Linked DNA regions of Stegostoma tigrinum. The protein of the gene in region 1 purifies or fractionates together with the protein of each later gene. This does not show direct contact. Links are inferred from orthologs where the notes say so. Each region holds a gene or a part of one and is shown in the gene's direction. Other genes may lie near its edges. The genes, in order: polr2d and rngtt.

Evidence for each region.
Region 2: the proteins of polr2d (region 1) and rngtt purify together in Homo sapiens (affinity purification with mass spectrometry; 3 studies listed by BioGRID and IntAct, with this or other methods). This does not show direct contact. The link is inferred for Stegostoma tigrinum from reciprocal best matches to the Homo sapiens genes POLR2D and RNGTT.

Annotation. Positions count from the first base shown.
Region 1 is NC_081367.1:6,521,745-6,532,716, reverse strand, and holds polr2d (DNA-directed RNA polymerase II subunit RPB4), read left to right. Parts: upstream 1-6,107; 5' UTR 6,108-6,144; coding exon 6,145-6,217; intron 6,218-7,497; coding exon 7,498-7,678; intron 7,679-9,096; coding exon 9,097-9,192; intron 9,193-9,971; coding exon 9,972-10,050; 3' UTR 10,051-10,434; downstream 10,435-10,972. UniProt on the Homo sapiens protein: Core component of RNA polymerase II (Pol II), a DNA-dependent RNA polymerase which synthesizes mRNA precursors and many functional non-coding RNAs using the four ribonucleoside triphosphates as substrates.
Region 2 is NC_081357.1:40,537,640-40,548,335, reverse strand, and holds the start of rngtt (mRNA-capping enzyme), read left to right. Parts: upstream 1-5,605; 5' UTR 5,606-5,970; coding exon 5,971-6,034; intron 6,035-10,696.

The DNA of each region.
Region 1 (10,972 bases):
TCAGCAGCAGGAGTCTGGTGCTCAGCATCTGAACACAGTGGCAGAATCGGGGAAACCAAGTGGAGGCTTGGGGACGGCTTTACAGAACACCTATGCTCAGTTCGTGCTAAACAACTGCACCTCCCAGACATGAACCATTTCAACTCTTCCTCCCATTCCTCTGATGACATGTCCATCCTGGGCCTCCTGCAGTGCCACCCGAAGGTTGCAGGAACAGCACCTTATATTCCGCTTGGGAACCCTGCAACCCAATGGTATCAATGTGGACTTTACAAGCTTCAAGATCTCCCCTCCCCCTACTGCATCCCAAAACAAGCCCAGCTTGTCCCCGCGTCCCTAACCTGTCCTTCCTCCCACCTATACCCTTGTCCCACCTCAAGCCGCACCCCCATCTCCTACCCAATAACCTCAACCCGCCCCCTTGACCTGTCCATCCTCCCTGGACTGACCTATTCCTTCCCTAACTCCCCACCTACACGCACCTGTACTGGCTCCATCCCCGCCTCTTTGACCTGTCTGTCTCCTCTCCACCTATCTTCTCCTCTATCCATCTTCTATCCGCCTCCCCCTCTCTCCCTATTTATTTCAGACCCCCTTCCCCTCCCCCATTTCTGAAGAAGGGTCTAGGCCCGAAACATCAGCTTTCCTGCTCGTCTGATGCTACTTGGCCTGCTGTGTTCATCCAGCTCTATGCCTTGTTATCTCAGTGTTGGAACTTCCTGTTTGTGTTCATGACCTCCTTCGGCCAGGAAAGATTCTTGTCGTTGCCACTTTGACAGCGTCTTCCATCACCCAACCAGGTAGGTGTCCCTACCTCCTGGCTGGCAGATCTGAGTTCAGGCCCCATCTGAACCCTTAATGGCCAGTGAAAGTACATCAGAACATGGCCCAGCAGGTTGGTTATCAATATATAAATCTTTATGATTCGGTAAAAATAAATGTGCAAGTTTCCTGGCCAGCCAGAATCAGGTGCTAGCGACAGCACAAGCCTCCCCACGTTAAAAGACTCCATGCACAGGTTCTTACCAGGATTGAGTGTTTAGCCTTGCTGTGGAGGTCTACCACACACAAACATGCTCTCTGACTTTACCAGAATTATCCCTTCAGGCACTCCTCTGATGGACCAACCTTGCAGTTTCACACATTCCTTTCTCCCCAACTACCTCCTCAAATCTCCATCTCAGCAGCCAACATTCAGACCGTAATTAACCACACCCATCCTGGACAATTGCCCTCCACAAATGTTCTCATTCCATCCTTATCACAAATTCCAATTCTCACATTCATAACTCTCCACTTCAGAGGTGAAAGTAAGTTTTGAAATTTGATTTGAGGTTACATTTTGACTTCCCGCTGCTGCTGGTATCTCTTCCAGCCAGGAGGTATGTTGTTGTTGTGGTATGTTGTGCTCCCCTCACATCCAACTGTGGCTCATCAGCAACCACTCTGTTATTTCCCTCATTTAATTAGAGCTAGTTGAACAGCTATTTCTGCAATTCTCAGCCTTGCCTGAGGAAAGACATTTCTGCAGCTTTCCAGCTCTGACCAAATACCAAAACACTAACAGTTTTTGTTTTCTGGATGCCATTTTTAGACTCCTTTTTGCACTCATGATTTCAAGGACCTCTTAATGACTGTAGTCTGCATTTGGAACTTTTTAGCATGTATCTTTGCACCCACCTTTCAAAGGTTTCCATTTTCTCCCCATGCATTTTTCTAATTGTTTGGGTTTCCGATGCATACAGGAAAGTGGATAGAATCTAGCATTTTATTTTCTTGCTACATATCTGAAAATTGTACATTTCCACCGACCCATAACATTTCACCGCCTTACTATTCAAGTACTACTTATCTCTGCCTCATGGTATTTAAAGGCTATTTTCTTATATTTAAGTATGTATTTAATTTTATTTTATATTTTAGATATTTTATACTGAGTTTTAATCAGAAAGAGAGTTAAGGGTTTTGGGGAAATGCAGAAAACTGGAGATGAGGATTATCAGATCAGCCATGATCTTGTTAAATAGTGTAGCGAACTCAATGGGCTGAATGGGCAGAATGAATCTACCCTACACCTTGTGTTCTTATGACCTTACCTGAAATGACAAAGGTTTTATTAGTTAGCTCTGCTACTCGGCACTTTTTAGAGATCATTTCTATTAGTCACTAATTTATTCAAATTATTGCTTTGGAATTTTGTTTCAAATTCATGTTTAGTATTTATGACTTTATCTGCCCAAAATTTGTTAGCTGGCCCTGTATGAGAGATAAATGGAAAGATAGTTCCTCATACAAAACAATTGGAAATCCCTGATATGTTTGTGTGAAGACCCCAAACATTTGGCATTAGCTAAAGACAAAGATGACACAAAGCTAGGTAGGAAAATATGTCAAAAGAACATAAAGAGACTACGAAGGGATTTAGTCAGGTAAGTGAGTGGACAAAAACTTTCGAAATCAAATTGGCAAAGATGGCCTGTAGGATGTGTTCCTGGAATAGTTTCAAAGACAATACACACTGGAAGCTACAAGGGAACAACTTTATCAATTGGGAATGAAACAGAATAAATTAATGACCTTTACAGTAAAGGATGCCTTCGAGAGGAGTGAATAAGGCATGAAAGAATTTGAGATTCAGTTTGAGTGAGAACTGCAGGTCCATAACAAATCTTTGGATAAAGGCAGAAGGATGTCCAAACAGTTAGCGAAAGTCAATAGTCTTCAAGGTTAAAGATAAAAAGTCACCCCATGAATATTAGAAAATCAATCAGCAAAATGAAGGAAGTGAAAGAAAACAGTCACCAAAAAAGCACAGGAAAAGCAACAGAAATCAAACACACTGACAAGTCCACTGGATCTGATTGTCTGCATTCTGTGGAATAAATGAAACTAGCGACAGAGAAATGGTAAATGCATTGGTTGTAATCTTCCAAAATTCCCTAGATTCTGGAACAGACCCAGCCCAGTGGAAAACCAGAAAATACACCTATGTCCAAGAAAGGAGAAAGACAAAGAAATGATAGATTAGTTACTCCAATGTCTGGCATTAGGAAAATGCTACAATTCACTACAAAGTAGGTAGTGGAAGGACAATCTGAAATTAATACTATCAAGGAGAGTAAATATGGTTTTGTGAAAGAAAAATTTGATTGATATTTGCAGTAATGTCCTTTAAGAATGTAACAAGCGACATATTTAAAGGGGAACTAGTAGCTGTAGTGTATTTGGATTTCTGAAAGGCATTTGATAAAATCACTGCATGAAAGCCAACCACAAAAGGTAAGCATTCATGGTGTTCAGGGTGTTTAGCATGTGTAGAGAATGAACTAAGAAGATAAAAGTGGTTGAGATAAATGTGTCATTAGTATGATGACAAACTGTAACTAGCAGAATACCACAGGGATCAGTACGAGAAACTGACTATTCACCATCTATGTCCGTGACTTTGTTAAAGGGACTGACTGTTTTGTAGCCAATTCTGCTGATAATACAAAGATAAGTTGGGAATTAAATCTACAAAGAATGGGGAGTCAGAAATTATCAGATATAATGCAATGTGGGAAAATGTGAGGTCATCCAATTTGGCAGAAATAGAAAAGCAGACTATTATTTAAGGCAGAGAGACACTGCAGACTTCTTATATATATCACAAATAATCAGCCACCAAGTGCAGCATGTCATTCGGAACACAATGGATTTTAGGCTTCGGCACCCTTGTGACACATTGGTAGATCTCTACCTCTGAGTCAGGTGGCCTAGGTTCAGATCCCACCACTCCAGAGGTGTTACATCCCTGAACAAGTTGATGAGGCAAGTGTTTGGAATGTTGGCATTTATTACAAAAGGAGTGGAGAATACAGGTAGGGATGTCTTAAAACTGCAGAGGCCATGAGTGAAATCACATTGAGCACAACTCTGGTCAGCTTAAGGAGGGAACCCTACTTACACTGGAAGCAGGAGGAGAGTCACTTAGAAGATTTGCAGGATGAAGAGGTCTGTCTTATAAGGAGAGGTTGAGCAGAATGGGCTTGTTGGAGGTTAGGAGAATGAGATCTTATTGACACAAAGACGTTTCTGAGGAGGCTTGTCAAGATGGATTCTGAAAGGATGTTTGCCCTCAGGTGCAAGTCTAGAATTAGAAGCCAGAGTTTTAAAATAATGAGTTTCCCATTTAAAATGAAAATTACTCATTCCCTTAGAGGCAGGTTGACCAACATTTGAGGAAAAGATTAGGGGAGGCTCACCAAATCTTAAGTGTTGCTGAACTTCCAAGGACAGATTGCAGCTGAAAATGAGTAGGTAGGTGGTTGTTGAGACTTTACCTCTGATGAAGTTGTTGGAGCAGAAGACCAGCAAAGCATTCTGTGCATAAACCATTACCACAACGCTCAAAAGTCAAAGATCTCTAAATGGCACCTGTGGGGACTGTTGACAGTTTTTGGGAATCCAGAACAGAACCCACAGTATTGGAGGTATTATATTGGCATGAATGGCGAATTGACTAATGGGCAGGAAACAGTCAGTGGTGATAAGGGTTTTTTTTCAGCTTGGTGACTTGTAACCAGTGGGTTCCACATGGACCAGTGCTGGACCGCAACTGTTTACTGGAGTATAAGAGTAGGGAAGTCTTATTGTAACTACAAGGTGCTAGTGAGACCACATCTGGAGTACTGTGAGAGCAATTTTGGTCCACTTATTTAAGGAAATTATTTAAATGGAGGCAGTTCAAAGAAGATTCACCAGGATGATCGCTGGTATAGAGGACTTGGCTGATGAGAGGTTGAACAGATTGGGACTCTACTGTTGGAACAAGAGTGATATCATTGAAACTATAGGATTCTTCAGTAGCTTGACAGGGTCAAATGCTGAAAGCATGTTTCCCCTCATGGGAGACTCTAGGACCTGAGGGCATAGTCTCACAATAAAGGGGCATCAATTTAAGACTGAGATGAATAGGAATTCCTTCTCTCAGAGGATTGAGAGTCTTGGGAACTCCGTGCTACAGAAAGTTGTTTTGGCACGGGGTCCTTATGTGTATTTAAGGCTGAGATAGGTTCTTGATCAATAGGGAAATGAAGGGTTACAGGGAAAGAGCAGGAAATAGGAGACGAGGAATGTTGAATCAACCATTATGCTATTGAATGGCAGAGCAGGCTTGAAGGGCTGAACAGACTACTCCTGTTTCAATTTCTTATGGTCTTAATAGTTGGTCACCCTCTGTAGAGGGTAGTTTGTGTTTTGAATTCACATGGAAAGCAATGTAATTTGGGCTATTGAATACATTCAAGTCGGAGTTATATATTGACAAGGGAGTCAAAGATTCCAAGGAGGTCAGGCATGAAAATGGAGATAAGGCCACAATCAGATCAGCCATGCAAGGTGAAGTAGACTCAGGGCTGACCTGAGTCACCTGGGTATGTTCTTATTGAAAGGGACATTGTTCTTCCTCAGGGAGTAGACCCATAGAATTATATAAGTATTATGGTGCACATGAAGCCATTCAGCTCATTGTGCTGACAACAGCTTGTGAAAAGTGCACCAATACCTAGTGCCAGTATCCTGCTTTCCCCTCATAGCTTTGAGTGTTATTTACATCGCCCTCTTGAATGCGTCAATTCAATGTGCCTCCATCACATTTCCAGGCAGTGCATTCCATAGCCTAACTACTCACTGTTTGTACAGGTTTTTCCTCACTTCACCCTTGTTTCTTTTGTAGATCACTTTAGCTTTATGTCCTCTTGTTCTTACATAAAACAAAGAGAATGTGCATACTGCAGATCTGAAACAAAACAGAAATTGCTGGAGAAACTGAGCAGGTCTGGGCAGCCTCTGTGGCGAGGATGCAGAGTTAAAGTTTCGAGTACAGATTCCCTTCTTCCTCTTACGAGCGGGACCCATTCAGTCACTCAGAATCATGACGCTGATTGACCGACTCAATCCAACAAAATGTTTTAACGAATAGGAAGGCAAGAACCCGGGCCAGGCTGGAGCCACACTGTTCCCAGGCTATTTTCAGTGACCAGGTTCCGCCTGTATCAAACGTGGCAGCGCCCGGGGTGGGGGGGAAGCCGTACAGCTTTTGCGCATGCGTCTGGATGGGCTGGGATCTGGTCTGGTCTTGTTCCGGGTCAGTGAGGACTTGCAATGGCGGCCTGTGGTAGTGAGGCCCGGGTCGGCGATGTGGAGGAGGACGCTTCCCAGCTGGTGTTCCCGAAAGGTACTGGCGGAGAGGGAGAGGGATGGATATGATGATGATAATGGGGTGAGAAAGGTAAATCATTGAAAGTTCCTGCTGTATTCTCAGTCAGTTCTCACTCTGTTTTATATGCTCAATTCACTTCTAGTTTGCCCTTCAAGAAATGCTGCATAAAGACATAACATAAGCGACAGGCCACCAAGTTCAAGAGAGAATGATAACAATAGCAGCAGTATGCTCAGGGAACAGGGTGAAGGGTTGGCCACTGAGCATGCCACTTTCATTCTCCTTTTGTGAGTCAGAGAATCCCTGTAGTACAGAAGGAGGCCATTTGGCCCATAGAGGTCGGCACTGACCCTCTGAAAAACATCCCCGGCAGACCCACCCCATCCTTGTAACCCTGCATGGGGCTTTTAACCATGGCCAATCCACATCTTTGGACTGTGGCAGGAAACTGGAGCACCCGGAGGAAAACCACACGGATACAGGGAGAATATGCAAACTCCACATGGACAGCCACCCAGGGTCGGAATTGAACCTGTTACCCGGCACTGTGAGGCAGCGATGCGAACCACTTTCAGGAAAGCCTCAGAGTTGTAGAATCATACAGCACAGTAAAGGCTTTTCTTGCCCTTGAGTCTGTTCCACCATAAATACACTACTTCCTTTGCTATTCCCACTTAAGTTCTTCACTTACCTTTTTTAAAAAAAAGCTTATGAATTGCTTTCTGCCAAATTCCAACTGTACACATCTACTACTCAGCAAATGTTCCACTGGAGAAGCATGTATGTGGCACAATGATTTAATCCTCTGAAATTACCTTGCTCAATGTGTGCAATACGGTACTGTTCGCTCCCTCTTTCTAGGCTTCAGATATGGAAACTCAGTACACAGGAATGGAAGGAGTTAACCTGTTATCAGGTGATCGCTCAGAGATAGCAAGAACTGCAGATGCTGGAGTCAGAGATAACACAGTGTGAAGGTGGGGGAAGAGGAACACAGGCTAAGCAGCAGCAGAGGAGCAGGAAAGTTGATGTTTCGGGTTGGGACCTTTCTTTAGAAATCTTCAGAAATCAAGGGACCTGACCCGAAACGTCAATTTTCCTGCTCCTCTGCTGCCTGGCTTGCTGTGTTCCTCCAGCTCCACACTTTGTTACCAGTTGATAGATGTTTGAGCTTAAGTACTATCAATATGGTATTCAAAAAACTAAGTTATTGGAAGTTGTTTGGGAGGGGCATTGTTAGGTAACTGACTGAAGGTTTGGCTACATTTTGGTTGTTTTGTTTTATGTTGTCACAGAGTTTGAAAGCTCAGAGACCCTGTTAAACTCTGAGGTCCACATGTTGCTGGAGCACCGGAAGCAGCAGAACGAAAGTGCAGAAGATGAGCAGGAGCTCTCTGAAGTGTTTATGAAAACGTTAAACTATACAGCCAGATTCAGCCGCTTCAAAAATAGGGAGACCATTGCCAGTGTTAGGAGGTCAGTGCGTGAGGATTCGAAAATATTCAGTGCACCTACTGATCTGCAGTATTGCTCTTGCTGGGGTTGGGAGGGGTGAATTAATTCTCTTACTTGTCCCATCCTTCCCTGGTCCCAACAGATTTGGAATTTGAAAGGGGGGGGGTATTTTCAATTATATATAGTATCAGATTGTATATTTAGTCCACATCAAAGCAAGTCAGCCATGGTCTTTAAGTAACAAGTCACGAATTAACTTATTGTATATGAAGCTTACTGAAGCAAATTGTTGAGATTAACTTAAGGTTTAAGCTGTCAAATATATTCAATTTCTCCTGAAAAATAACACTCACTCACTCGGATGCAGTGAGAGAGACAAATTTGAAAACATTTCAATGTGTTTTCTTAAGTGTTTAACCAAGTTACAATCTAATTTTTTAAAAAATCAGTGTCCAAATGGTAATCTGTAGCAGAGTCACTTTGCTTACAAAATATTGGCAATAGGATTTCTTCCTGGATCACATGTGACTAGCTGATTTTCTTTTGAATTTGGTGATAGATTCTGATTCTCCTTCAAGAACTCAGAGTGCAGCAATCAGAACTATTCCCATTAGGAACTAATACTTGATGAAATCTTTCAAAAGGTTTATAACTCAAACTTTTAAGATGAGTTTCAGAGAAAACAGAGATGGTAAGGGCTGTGCTCAAGGCAAGTTATCTCTCTGGTTATCTGAGCTCAAATCATCTACTTTTCTTTCCCTGGAACCAAAACTGGATCATGTGACTTTTCTGAAGGTGTTGTGGACTTGGCATCTTCATTGAAACAACCTGTTCCTTCTAAATGCAATGGTTTTGCTACTGTAGTCATTGTATTTTGTTTTGCAGTGTCTCTTCCTAAAAGTTCAAAGCACATATGTCCAAACAGTGCTATTATAATAATGTGACAGCTAAATTGTCTTTGTGACAGTATTCACAGCAAATTTCAGGCAAATTCAGTGGCAAGTGGGCTAATTCTATCCTCTGAGCTTAGTGCACAATTATCCTATGATGACATATTGCACAATTTTGACTTCTGACTAAGTATGAAGGTTGATAACTTGATCCTCTTGAATACTGATCCTTTTTGCCTGCTTTTGGCTCAAAGTTAACAACTGTGGCTGGGATCTGTTGACTGTGTTTGACAAGGAAATGTTTCCTGGTAACTATATCAACTTTGTCATTTTCTTTCAGTAGTTATTTTATTATCTTTCAATTTACTTGTCTACTATTAACTGTCTTACTCTATTATCACAGATAAATAGAATTGATCATATTATTCTTCTCAGTCCTGTTTACGCTTGTGTTGTATTTAATCACATTTAGGCTCTTGTGAAGAGATCGAGTTGAACTAGTGTGTGGCTTTCATTTGAAGTATAGCTTTCACATTCTCTTTCTTGTAGTCTGCTATTACAGAAGAAATTACACAAATTTGAGCTAGCCAGTTTGGCCAATCTGTGTCCTGAGACAGCTGAGGAGGCCAAAGCCCTCATTCCCAGGTCAGTGCTCTTTCTGTACTGTTTCTTTCGAGCATGGGGTCCACTGAAGGCACCGAGGTCAGTCGTGAAGTAAATACAATTTCCATGTATGTATGCTTCTCCAAACATGTAGGACTGGAGGAAATGGAAGAGCTGGGGAGTGACAGTACTGATTTGAAAGCAAGAATGAGAACTTTAAAGACAAGGCATTGGCTCCCGGTTAAGCAATCAGAGCAAATATTTCTTTTCTGTGCGTTCTCCTGAGTGCTACATTTTGATTTTTGGGGGCTATTTTTTCCTTCTCTTTAATTATTTTATGAGGTGACGCAGCCATTTATTAGCATTTCTGTCTGTATTTGTGTTGATGTTTATGGCATTTGAATTCTCATGGAAGCAGGTTCGAATAATTCTTCAGTACCCTCGTCTTGGAGAACACGGTATACAAGTGGGCATAAGACAATGGCATAAGTTTGTTTTGCAAAATAAGTATGAAAACAACCATCGCCCTAAATATACCTTCTACGTTGGTGACATCTTGAGCTGATGAGTTTCCATTGTATGCTAACAAAGCTGGAATATTTTAATGAAGTGATTGGGAATGAACTGAACTGAGTTTGGAACAAATATGTTTATATCAATGTCACTGTCTAATGGATGTAGCTCTTCGGGATCTGGCAGTTTTAAATCTGCATGTAGAGTAATTGTTTTTAGTCACCTAACTGTGATGGTGGTTGCAGAATATTCATGCTCTTTTCTTCTCTTTGTTCCCCTGCTCCCACTCTATTTTGTAAAAATTTCAGCTTGGAGGGTCGATTTGAGGATGAGGAGCTCCAACAAATCCTTGACGACATTCAGACCAAGCGAAGCTTTCAGTATTGATTCCAATATCTGCTAAAGCCCAGCTCTTCCTGATGCTAATCCACTGAACAATGGTGCTGGTGCTTCTCTCTGATGTGAACTGATTGTACAGAGAGTGGAGGTGCCGACCCTATAGGCTGAAGCAAACCAAATGCACTGAATGTGACTGTGAACCCTTGGACTAGTCCTAAATCCAGAGCTGTTTAGTAACATGTTACTTGACACCTAAGAGTACAAAGACGCTCTGGGGTCACAGAATAGGAATATTGCCTGTTTTTGTTTCAATCTGATGTCTTTGACTGTGTTTTGTTTTCCCTTCCATTCTGATAAATCCTGTAACTAATTCTGATGGGATATTAGCCCCACGTTGTTTTATTAAAGTGAAGACCCATATGTTGGATCCTAGTTAAGATTGATTCTGTCAGGAGAGGAATGAAGCTGTTCCTCTTATGCAGACTTAGGAAAATGCAACAACAATCTATTGACAATGGTTGCCAGTCAGGCCCATGGCACCTTTTGGAAACGTGGTGTATTTTACTGAACTGGGCCTTTATTCCACTCTGTCCATACAGGTATTTTATATAATTATCGATTTCGGCCTGCCTTGAACATGTACTTCAATAATATGCAACAGGGAAATGAGAAAGGGAACAGCTCCTGGTAATTGCACAGGTATCCCTTTACAGTGAGGCCATCGCCCTCTGTTGGGTTTGGTTTCACTGTTGTTACTTTTGCTGTGTGAATGTGGACAGTGAGTCGTGTCACTTTTATTAATTTATGCGGCATCAAGTATCCAGCAGGAAAGGCTCAACGATGAGGTGTCCCGCAGGGTTCAGTGTTGGGGCCGGAGCTGTTCACCTTATATATTAATGATCTGGCTGAAGGGACTAGGGACATTCTGGCGAAGTTTGCCGATGATACAAAGATAGGTGGACAGGCAGGT
Region 2 (10,696 bases), on another chromosome or scaffold:
CAGACTCTAGCTTTCCTCCCAACGCAAGCTATATATATATATATATATATATGTATATGTCGCTGGCTGGGTTTAATAACAGGCAAAGACTAAGAGGCCGACTCCAGCTTATAAACAGCACGAAGAACCATGGAGGCAACAGTCTTACACTTCTGACAACAACGGGGGGGGGGAATGGAGAAGGCAGGCGATCGCGACACGTCATCACTCACCGGTACCCACCAATGGTAGCGCGTTGTGGTGGTGCCACGTGACTAAAGACTTGGTCGCGCCGTCCCGTCCCGCCCTGTTCTTGCCCTTAGCAACCATGATGTCATTGGTCTGAGAGACGAGCCCGGATGCGGCAACGGGTATTGAAGTTGGGCGCAGGCGCACATAAGTCTGTCGCTTGTCTAATTTCTTGCAGTCGTACGTGTAACCTTTTTAACTATTTGTTTTGCCGTACTTGCTTACAGTTCCCTGTTTCCGTGAAGACCGTTGGAATTGAGTTTTGTGTATGTGGGCAGTGAAATGATCATCACGTGACGGTAATTTCCGTCTCTGGGGCGGTGACGTCTGCGCTGTCGGACGTCCTGAAACCTGTCAGTCCATTCAGATCGAAATTCGAATTCTTGCTCAATGACACGTGGTGTGGCGATGATTTCCACTGTTTTTGCTGTGGGATTTCCCTAAATTCCCCGGGAATACGGGAAATTGTACTCGTTGACACGCAACGAATTTCCTAAAACCGAAGAAGCGTTCTTTGACTAAAACGCTAATTGATTTCTGAACTTCCTTACGTTGACATTGTGTAACATAAATATCAGTCAATAAAATGATTATTTTCAGAAGAAAAACACGATTCATTCCATTTTCCCCCTGTACTTCCGTAAAACTTCCAATAGCTTTCTATTTCTTATACGAAAAGCACGTCCTCAGCCCGGGTATTCGAATGCGTTCAGGAATTTGCCTTAAACATTGCCACCTCCCCAAGGCAATGAGTTTATGCTTTTGATTCTGACGCAATCTATAGCCCTAGGAGCACCAATGCTTTGGAAGAGTTTTGCAATTTCATATCATAGAAATTAACCCTTTAAAAGTGATCTTCAAGCACCATCTTTGTAAGGACATTCTCTAGTCTGCACTGCTTTGGAACATTTTATTACTGTTTCCTACTCGCTACCCAATCGTTCACAGGCGATCAGCCACTAATGAATTTCTGGATAAATAATTGTACGAGTGGAATTAACGTTGAAGTTATTTCTGGATCAGGCAAGTACCTTCGAGGTGTGTCACAGCATATCCAAACAGGTTTATTAAACATTGGCAAGAGATGAGCAAAAAAAACTTTTTGAGTCACTAATTTGGGTTGAAGATAAGATCCTAACTTTTTGCAGACGCTATTTAGATACTTAACACTAAAATGTATTTAAAAATTATATATTCTAGTTTTTGTTTAAGTTTGTAGTCCTTGGTTTAAACATGGATTCTACTTGTGACTAGAATTTAAAAAGTACAACTATCATAAAATTACAAGGCAATTATTGTTCAGCAAGGCTGTTTTGTCTATCTTAATTTATCTAGCTATAAACATCTTAATTTTAATAAATTACTTTTCACATGCAAAATTAATTTCTTCTTATTCATTTGTGTGGTGTGGGCGTCACTGGCTGGCCAGTATTTCTTGCCCGTCCCTAGTATTTCTTGATAGCAATCAAATATGTTTAAGAGTCTGAACTGGTGTCCCATACATTCTACTCAATCAATTTGATTTATTCTATGCAGTGAATATCTAGCTCATGTTTAGAATATATTTCAGTTTTAGAATACAATTAAGAATTAAAGTTTAACTGGAAAAATTGAGATAAATGCAATTTATAGTTGAAACATCTGATGTTGTTTAAAATGTTGGTGCATGTTGCCTTCAGAGGTTAACATCTAGAAAGGTAATATCATAAAACTGTCAGTAAGCTTATTTTGTGAAAAGTTGGAGATGTGCAGCTCAGAGAAATAGCAAGAGCTGCAGATGCTGGAGTCAGAAATAACAATGTGGAGCTGGGGAAGTACAGTGGGCCAGACAGCATCAGAGGAGCAGGAAATTTGACGTTTGGGTCAGGACCGAAAATGTCAACTTTCCTTCGGTTGAGAGAGATGTAAATTAACTAAGCTTGAAACAGTTCAGTAAATCCTAAAAGGTTGGAAAACCCAATTACTTCATATTAAAGAAGGTATTATAAATTAAAGGAAAGCTGGAGGAATCCCTTTCTTCATGAAGCTTGCTCTATCACTCAAGCAGCTCATGGCTGATCTACTTCAACATTATTTTCCCACAGTCTTCATTTTCGTTTATTATTAATAGCTGCAAGTCTATTGATCTTGCACTTGAATATTTTCAATAACTTATATTTTCCACACTTCTCTCAAGTACAGACTTTCAAAGATTTATGATTGTCTCAATGAATAAAAACTTGTCCTCATCTCAGTTTTAAACTCATTCTGAGACTGCAAGTTAATTTAAACATCAATTTTAGTATAACTCAGAGCAGGCTATATCAGCCTGGTGATGGATAGAGTGCAATCAGTTTTTCTAGTTTCAGTTTGTCACAAACGTTTCCTCAGAAAGTTAGTTGCAGAGTTTACCTCATGTGGTTTGCAGAAGGTGGTTAAATAAATGTTAAGACCTGCATTGTAAGCTATTTTCATCATTGACCATTACGTGGGTGAGATTTAAATTCCGTTTTAATTTTGTGAGGGATTAGAAGATGGAAGATTGTCGAGTTTGAAGGCAGTAGTTCCTCTCAGTGTTATTGCAAAAGAAACTGGAGCAGTTTGGAATACTGGAAAAGTAACCAGAACAAAGGACTGAGGTAATCAGATTTTTTTTTTTAAAAATTAACAACTCCTAGGGAGATTGTCACAACTACTGTTCTCACACCAATTAGGATAACCTTAGATGCCTCCTTTCCTGTCCTCAATTTTTCCTTATAAGTCAAACATTTGAGATTATGAATCAGTCCTTTCTCTTCACCAGTTCTAATGCTTGAATATCTCACCCTTGTGGTTCATTAACTAGATTTGAAAGAACTGATTAAGCATAAAGTAAAACAGAAGAGAATTTGACTTTATTTTTTGAAAGGAATCCAATTAGTTCCACTTACTTGCCCCTTCTGTATATCTTTGCTAAATATAGTCATTGAACCCTGCTTTCCCCACTGTTTCAGACAGCTTATTTATTTTTATGAACTTGCAGCATTCGTATTTTCTCTTATGTCCTTGTTATGATTGAATCTTCCTGTGGTCATGATGTCTGGGAGCAGGAATGCTACCCCTGATACCACAAAATCTCCAAAAGCCACTTTTAATCAAGTGTTTTGACATACCTTTGGGGCAAATAATACTTGAAGTTAGATTCTACCACTGTACCACAAAGACTTCTCCATTTCTCACTTCATGTTGCCTGTAAGTATTTTGGGAATTATCCTAAATCTGTGTCTTTTGGTAGCTCGTTCTTTTGCCAATGAAGAGTTTTGGAAATATGGCTCCATGTTGTAGAGCTAGTGCATGCATTAGTTATGATTTTCCAATAATTTCTTGAATGGTCCTAGTCAACATACAGACAAGGAGCAGGAGTGAGCTATCCAACTCATTAAGTTTGTTCTGCCATTCAATTAGATTATGATTGAATTTGTTTTAGATTTTGTAAGAATGCAGGCTTGTGTATTTCCTGAATGATGACACGTCATGTTAGTCATGATGTGGAGGTAGCGGTGTTGGAATGTGGTGGACAAAGTCAAAAATCACAACACCAGGTTATAGTCCAACAGGTTTTTTTTGAAATCACAAGTTTTGGAGCATAGCCCTTTCGTCAGGTGAAATGAGAGAGAAGGACACTGACACAGAATTTATATGCAGAAAGATCAAGCGCAGAAAGTTCAAAAGAACATATAAATGATGTGAGTGGAGTGTCAAATAATAAGTTTCTGCATGTGATCAAAAGTGTCAGTCTGTGTCAGTATAGTGTCAACAGTTGAATTGCAAGCGAAGGGATCCGATTTATTTATTTATCATGTACTAAGTATGGGAATACATAAATACAGTGAAAAGTGCACAAAGTCGCCATTCACTAGTGCTCACTTGGTTACAAAAACCAGAATTAAAAGATTTAACAGAGCCTAAAGGTAGGCAAGAAAAAAAAATCCAGATCTGAGTCCCAAGTCCCAGCCAATAAAATGATGCAGAGATAACTACAAAAAATTAAAAATAAGGTAGTGCTTGAGACAAACCAAATGACTGTAACAACACAATAGGTATTACAGGGTAGGTGATGGCCTAGTGGTATTATTGCAAGACTATTAATCCAGAGACCCAGGTAATGTTCTGGGGTCCAGGGTTTCAAATCCTGCCAATAAAATTCTGGAATTAAGAATCTACTGATGAATGTGATATAATTGCTCATTGTCAGGAAAAGCCCATCTGGTTCACTAATGCCCTTTCGGGAAGGAGAACTGCTATCCTGGACTACATGTGACTCCAGACTTATAGCACTGTGGTTGACTGCCCTCTAGGCAATTAATGTTGAGCAATAAATGCTGCTGCAGCCAGTGATGCCCACATTCCATGAAATGAATTTAAAAAAAGTTGCATGCTGAGGATCTAAGCTAAGTAATCCAAAACTGTACAAACTAATTAAGAACTTGACTACCAGTTTCTGCTTGGCAATTCTGCATTGTAGTGTATCTCAAATGCTGCCTTGGAACCGATACCCAAGTTTTGTACCCATGAATACAGCCTCAACTGTGATCTTGTTATGTGTGACCCCAACACTCTGTTCTATATCAGTAAAATCTTTCTTACGGTCCTGTTTTTGACACCATCACCTCGATAAATCATTATGATCACTCTACCTCAATTACTTTGTACAGTTTTGGATTACTTATTACTTTAGTTAGACCCTCAGCATGTGACTCATACCTTACATGTTATTACAGTCAAGATCACAAAGTGTGGAGCTGGATGAACACAGTAGGCCAAGCAGCATTTCAGGAGCACAAAGGCTGACGTTTCGGGCCTAGACCCTTCATCAGAGTGCTCCTGAGATGCTGCTTGGCCTGCTGTGTTCATCCAGCTCCACACTTTGCAGACGCTGGAGAATCCAAGATAACAGTTCCCATTATCAATGTTATTACAGTCATTTGGTTTGTCTCCAGCACCACCTTATTTTTATTTTTTTGTAATTATCTATCTGCCTCATTTAATCAGTCATCCCTTTACTTGTTATTCAGCTGATGACGTTTTTCTCACACTGTCTGGCAGTTTTGATTACCTGCAGAGACTTATTATTTAACACTCCACTTACACCATTTGTATGACCTTTTGATTTCTCTGCCTACATATTCTGTCTCAGTGTCCTTGTCTCACACTTCACCTGGCGAAGAGGCTACCCTCCAAAAGTTTGTGATTTCAAATAAACTTGTCGGGCTAATAACCTGCTGTGGTGTGACTGCCGACTTGTCACGTGAGGGATGGGGTGCGCTTGGACACGTCACTTTGCGACTGTCCCAACAGCAGGGGGATAAGGCGCTGCGGGGGCGCGCTATGCCTGCGCGGCGCGATGGGGGAGCGGGCATGCGTGCGCGTGCACATTCTGCCCTCGGGTGCCCGGCGGCGTGGAACCTACTCGCTGCCAACGGTTTAAAGGCGCTCCCCCAGCGACAGCGGATTTCCACCATACCACCAGCCGGAAAACACAGACTCGGCTTCAGCGGTATTTCCTTGGGTTTTCGCTTTTAAGTCGACAGCAGCAACAAACCCCGGGCCTTACCGGGACATTAGGGGCCGAGCTGAGGCCTCCAAGCCGGGGACTCGCTTGTGATTTGAGGAGGGAAAGAGCGCGACGAGGATCCGGCAGTGACTTGGAGGCGATATTTCCCCTTTCGTCCCCTCCCGCTGCTGCCAGAAGCAAGAAAACTTGTGGTGGTGTGAGATTTCGGCATGTCAAACAGCGCAATCCCCCCGCGATGGCTGAATTGTCCCAGGAGAGGACAGCCGGTGGCAGGTGAGTTGTCAGAAATCAGCCATGGTGGGGGCGATGCTTTTTGCTTTCCTTTTGTTGTCTTTGATTAGTTGCATTGTGCAGTAATTCAAAATACTGAGGAGATCATCTCGGAAGCTTGAAAACTTGTTCCGTGGTCTAGCTGAATCGAAATTACTAGTTGGGGTGGCGGTTGCTGCAATGTTGTTCAGCATCCAATCATGACCAGGGAGCACGTTTCAAATAAGGTTGAAGAAGGAACGTTTTTCACATGTGGATGGGATACTACGAGTATTAATTAACCTAAATTCTGCTTAACACACTGATTGGTCAGTTCTTTCTGGTGTGTAAGATACTTTATTTATAAACTTTCCTTAGCTGTCTAAATGTTGAAATTGATTAAAAGAGCATCATGAGTCAAAGCCTCTAAGGTAAAATGCAGTATTGGTAGTCTGTTTACTGCAATGTCTGTATTGAAAACTTTGTTCCGAAAACACACTGACGCCTACTAGTGCTTGTAGCTGGTGTGTTCACTTGAACCTGATGCAGATGGTTGCACATAAAGATGGTTGTATGTAAATTTGTTTTCGCCTAGGTACCAGGCCATAAATATGAATATTACAGAATTGAATGGGGCATATGGAATTGGTGCAGAAGTAGACAGTTAGGCCTGTAAACCACCTCTGCTGCATAAACTGTTTGTCTGTTTGTTTGTAGATCCACATTCACATCTCTAATTGATATTTGGTTGCCCAGCCTAACAAGAATCTATTTAACTCTGCCTTTAAAATATTATACGACCTTGGCTCCACCGTGTTCTGAGGCAGACAGTTCCAAACTTGTACATCGTCTGAGAGGGGGGAAAAATTGTCCCCATCTCTGTGATAGCAAGAACTGCAACTGCTGGAGTCAGAGTCAACACAGTGTGGAGTTGGAGGAACACAAGAGGTTAGGCACCATCAGAGGAGTTGGAATGTTGATGTTTGTTTCTGGTTCGGGATCTTTCTTCAGTTCAGGTCCCAACACGAAACGTTGATTTTCCTATTCTTGTGATGCTGCCTGTCCTGCTGTGTTGACTTGTCCTCATATCTGCTCTGAAAAGTTAACCCTTAATTTTGGAACCGTATCCACTAGAGTTATAGGGCCACAGTGTCATACAGCATGGAAACAGACCCTTCTGTCCATGCTGATCACAATCCCAGATTAAACTAGTCCCACCTGCCTGAGCTTGGTTCATGTCCCTCCAAATATTTTTTATTCATTTACTTATCTAAATGTCTTTTAAATGTTGTAACTGTACTTGCATCCACCACTTCCTGTGGAAGTTCATTACACACGTGAACTGCTGTCTGTTTTTTAAAAAAAAAACCCTTCTTGTCTTTTTCACATCTTTCTCCTATCACCGTAAAAATGTGCCCCATAGTCTTGAAATCCCCCATGCTAGGGAAAAGACACCTGCCAGCCACGTTATCTATACTCCCTATGATTTTAGAAACTTCTACAGGGTCGTCCCTCAAACTCCTATGCTTGAGTGAAAAAAGTCGCAGCCTATCTCTCCTCTTCTCCATAATTCAAATCTCCAGTTACTGGCAACATTATGGCAAATCTCTTCTGAACTGTCACCAGCTTAATCATTAACTTCCTATAACAGGGCAACCGGAACTGCACACAGTATTCTAAAAGAGTCTTCACCAATGCCCTGTACAACCTCAACGTAACATTCCAACTCGTATAAACAAAGGTCTGAGCAATGAAGGAGAATGTGTTAAATGCCTTGATTGCCCTATCTATCTATATGTGATGCAAACTTCAAAGAATTCTATACCTGAACTCTTAAGTCTCTCAGTTCTACAATACCATCCAAGGCCCTACCATTATTTATACATTGTTTGTTTTACTAAAATGCAATACTTTTTGTATTTATCCAAATTAAGCTCCATCTACCATTCTTCAGCCCATTGACCCAATTGATCAAGATCTCTTTGTAATCTTAGATAATCTTCTTCACTCTCCACTGTATCACCAACCTTGGTGTCATCTGCAAGTTTACTAACCATACCTTCTATATTTTTATCTAAATCATGAGAATAAAATCTAAAAGTGGAGCCAGCACCGATCCCTGTGGAATACTGATGGTCATAGGCCTCCAGTCTGAAAAACAGCACTCCTCCATCACACTCTGACTCCTGTAAAGCCAATTTTGAATTCAGTTGACATGCTCACCCTGAATTCCATGTGATCTAACTTTTTATTAATTACTTTACCATGCAGAACCTTGTCAGAAGCTTTACTAAAAGTCCAAGTAAGCAATATCTATCACTCTAATAAAAACCAAAAGAACTGCGGATGCTGTAAGACAGGAACAAAATCAAAGTTGCTAGAAAAGCTCAGCAGGTCTGGCAGCATCTGTGAAGCAGAAACCAGAGCTAACGTAGTATGGTGACCTTTCCTCAGAACTTTGTTTTTGTTCAATGTTTACCACTCTGTCTGCATCAATCTTCATGGTTAGTTCCTCAGAAAACAGTCCAAGTTGTGGGACACGATTTCCCTCACTCAAAACCATGCTGACTATCCCTAACCAATTTTAAAGGAAGGATAGAAAGAGGCAATCGAGGAGGGGCAGTGGTGTTTTTGATTCAGGAAAGCATGACTAATCTAACTAGAAAAGGTATTTCTGAAAGAATTGTCATGTGAAAGTGTATGGGTTGAAATTAGAAATAAAAAAGGAATGATCACCTTGATGGGATTGTATATAGATCACCCAATAGTTAGAGGGAAATTGAGCAACAAATATCAAGAGAAATTTCAGATATGTGTAAGAATAACAAGGTTTTAACAGTAGGTAATCAAATTTACAGGCATCACCTGGGACTACCATGGTGTAAAAGATTTGAATGGTGAAGAATTTGTTAAATGTCATTTATTCGTGAGATATACACATAGAAACAGACCCTTCGGTCCAACTCGTCTAAGCTGACCAAATATCCTGTATCAATCTAGTCCCATTTGGCTCATATCCCTCTAAACCCATTGTACTTGTTCAGTTGTAATCATACCAGCCTCCAGCACTTCCTCTGGCAGCTCATTCCATACATGCACCAGTGTCTGACTGAAAACGTTACCCCTTATGTCCCTGTTATATCTTTGCCCTCTCACCTTAAACCTATGCCCGCTGGTTTTGGACTGCGACATACCCCAGGGTTATTCACCTTGTTCATGCCCCTCCTGATTTTATAAACCTTTTTATAAAGTCACCACTCAGCCTCCGACACTCCAGGGAAAATAGCCCCAGCGTATTCAGCCTCTTCCTATAGGTCAAACTCTCCAACCCCAGCAGTATCCTTGTCAGTCTTTTCTGATCAACTTCAAGTTTCACAACATCCTTTCTGTAGGAGGGAGACCATTTACTCTGAGGTAACCATATTCGCTGTCCACTACACTTCCAATTTTAGTGTCATCTGCAAACTTGCTAACCATACCTCCTATGTTCACATCTAAATCATTTATATAAATGATAAAAAGTAGTGGACCCAGCACCAATTCTTGTGGCACATAGTTGGCCATGGGGCCCCCAGTCTAAAAAGCGACCCTCACCACCACCTTCTGATTTCTTCCTTTGAGCCAGTTCTATATCCAGAAAGCTAGTTCTCCCTGTATTTCGTGTGATCAAACCTTGCTAACCAGTCTACCACAATGAACCTTGTTCACTGCTTTACTGAAGTCCATGCTCTGCCCTCATCAATTCTCATTGTTATTCTTTCAAAAAAAGAACAAGCCAGTTAGTGAGACATGATTTCCCACACACAAAGCCATGTTGATTATCCCTAATCAGTCCTTGCCTTTCCAAGTAATATTTAAGTCCTGTCCCTCAGGATTTCCTCCAACAACTTGCCCACCATTGATGTCAGGCTCACTGGTCCATAGTTCCCTGGCTTTTCCTTACCGCCTTAACAAGAACATTTTCTTTATCTATCTCTAAATATTCCTATTAGAGAAAGAGCAAAACCTGACTTTGTCTTTGTTAATAAGACAGGACTCACTCGCAACAGGAAGTATCCTTTTCACATTCACCTTGTTAAAAGCATTCAGTGTCAAGTCAGTTGTACAGCATGGAAACAGACCTTCGGTCCAACTCTAAATTAATCAAGTCCTATTTGCCAACATTTAGCCCATGTCCCTCCAAACTCTTCTAATTCATACACCCATCTATAGTTCCCTGGTTTATACACTTCAGTCATTCCTGTAAACTTCGTTGGCAACAAGCCAAGCCTGTCCAACCTATTCAGGTAACAAGCTGCTCATTCCAGATGCCTATCTAGTAAACCACCTCTGAAATGGTTTCAATGGATTTACATCCTTCTTGAAATAGAGACCAAAACTACATACAGCATTCTGCATGTGGTCTTACCAATGCCCCAAATAACTGATACTTTTTTAAAAAAAAAGCATAAGACCAAAATACTGTGGATATTGGAATTCTGAAACAAAAACAAAATGTTAGAGATACTCAGCGGATCTAGCAGCATCTGTGGAGACTGAAAAAGAATGCTTTGATTCCAATATCTTCAAGTCAAAAGAAGACATTTCTGTTTATATCTGTGATAATGGGAACTGCAGATGCTGGAGAATCTAAGATAACAGAGTGTGAAGCTGGATGAACACAGCAGACCAAGCAGCATCTCAGGA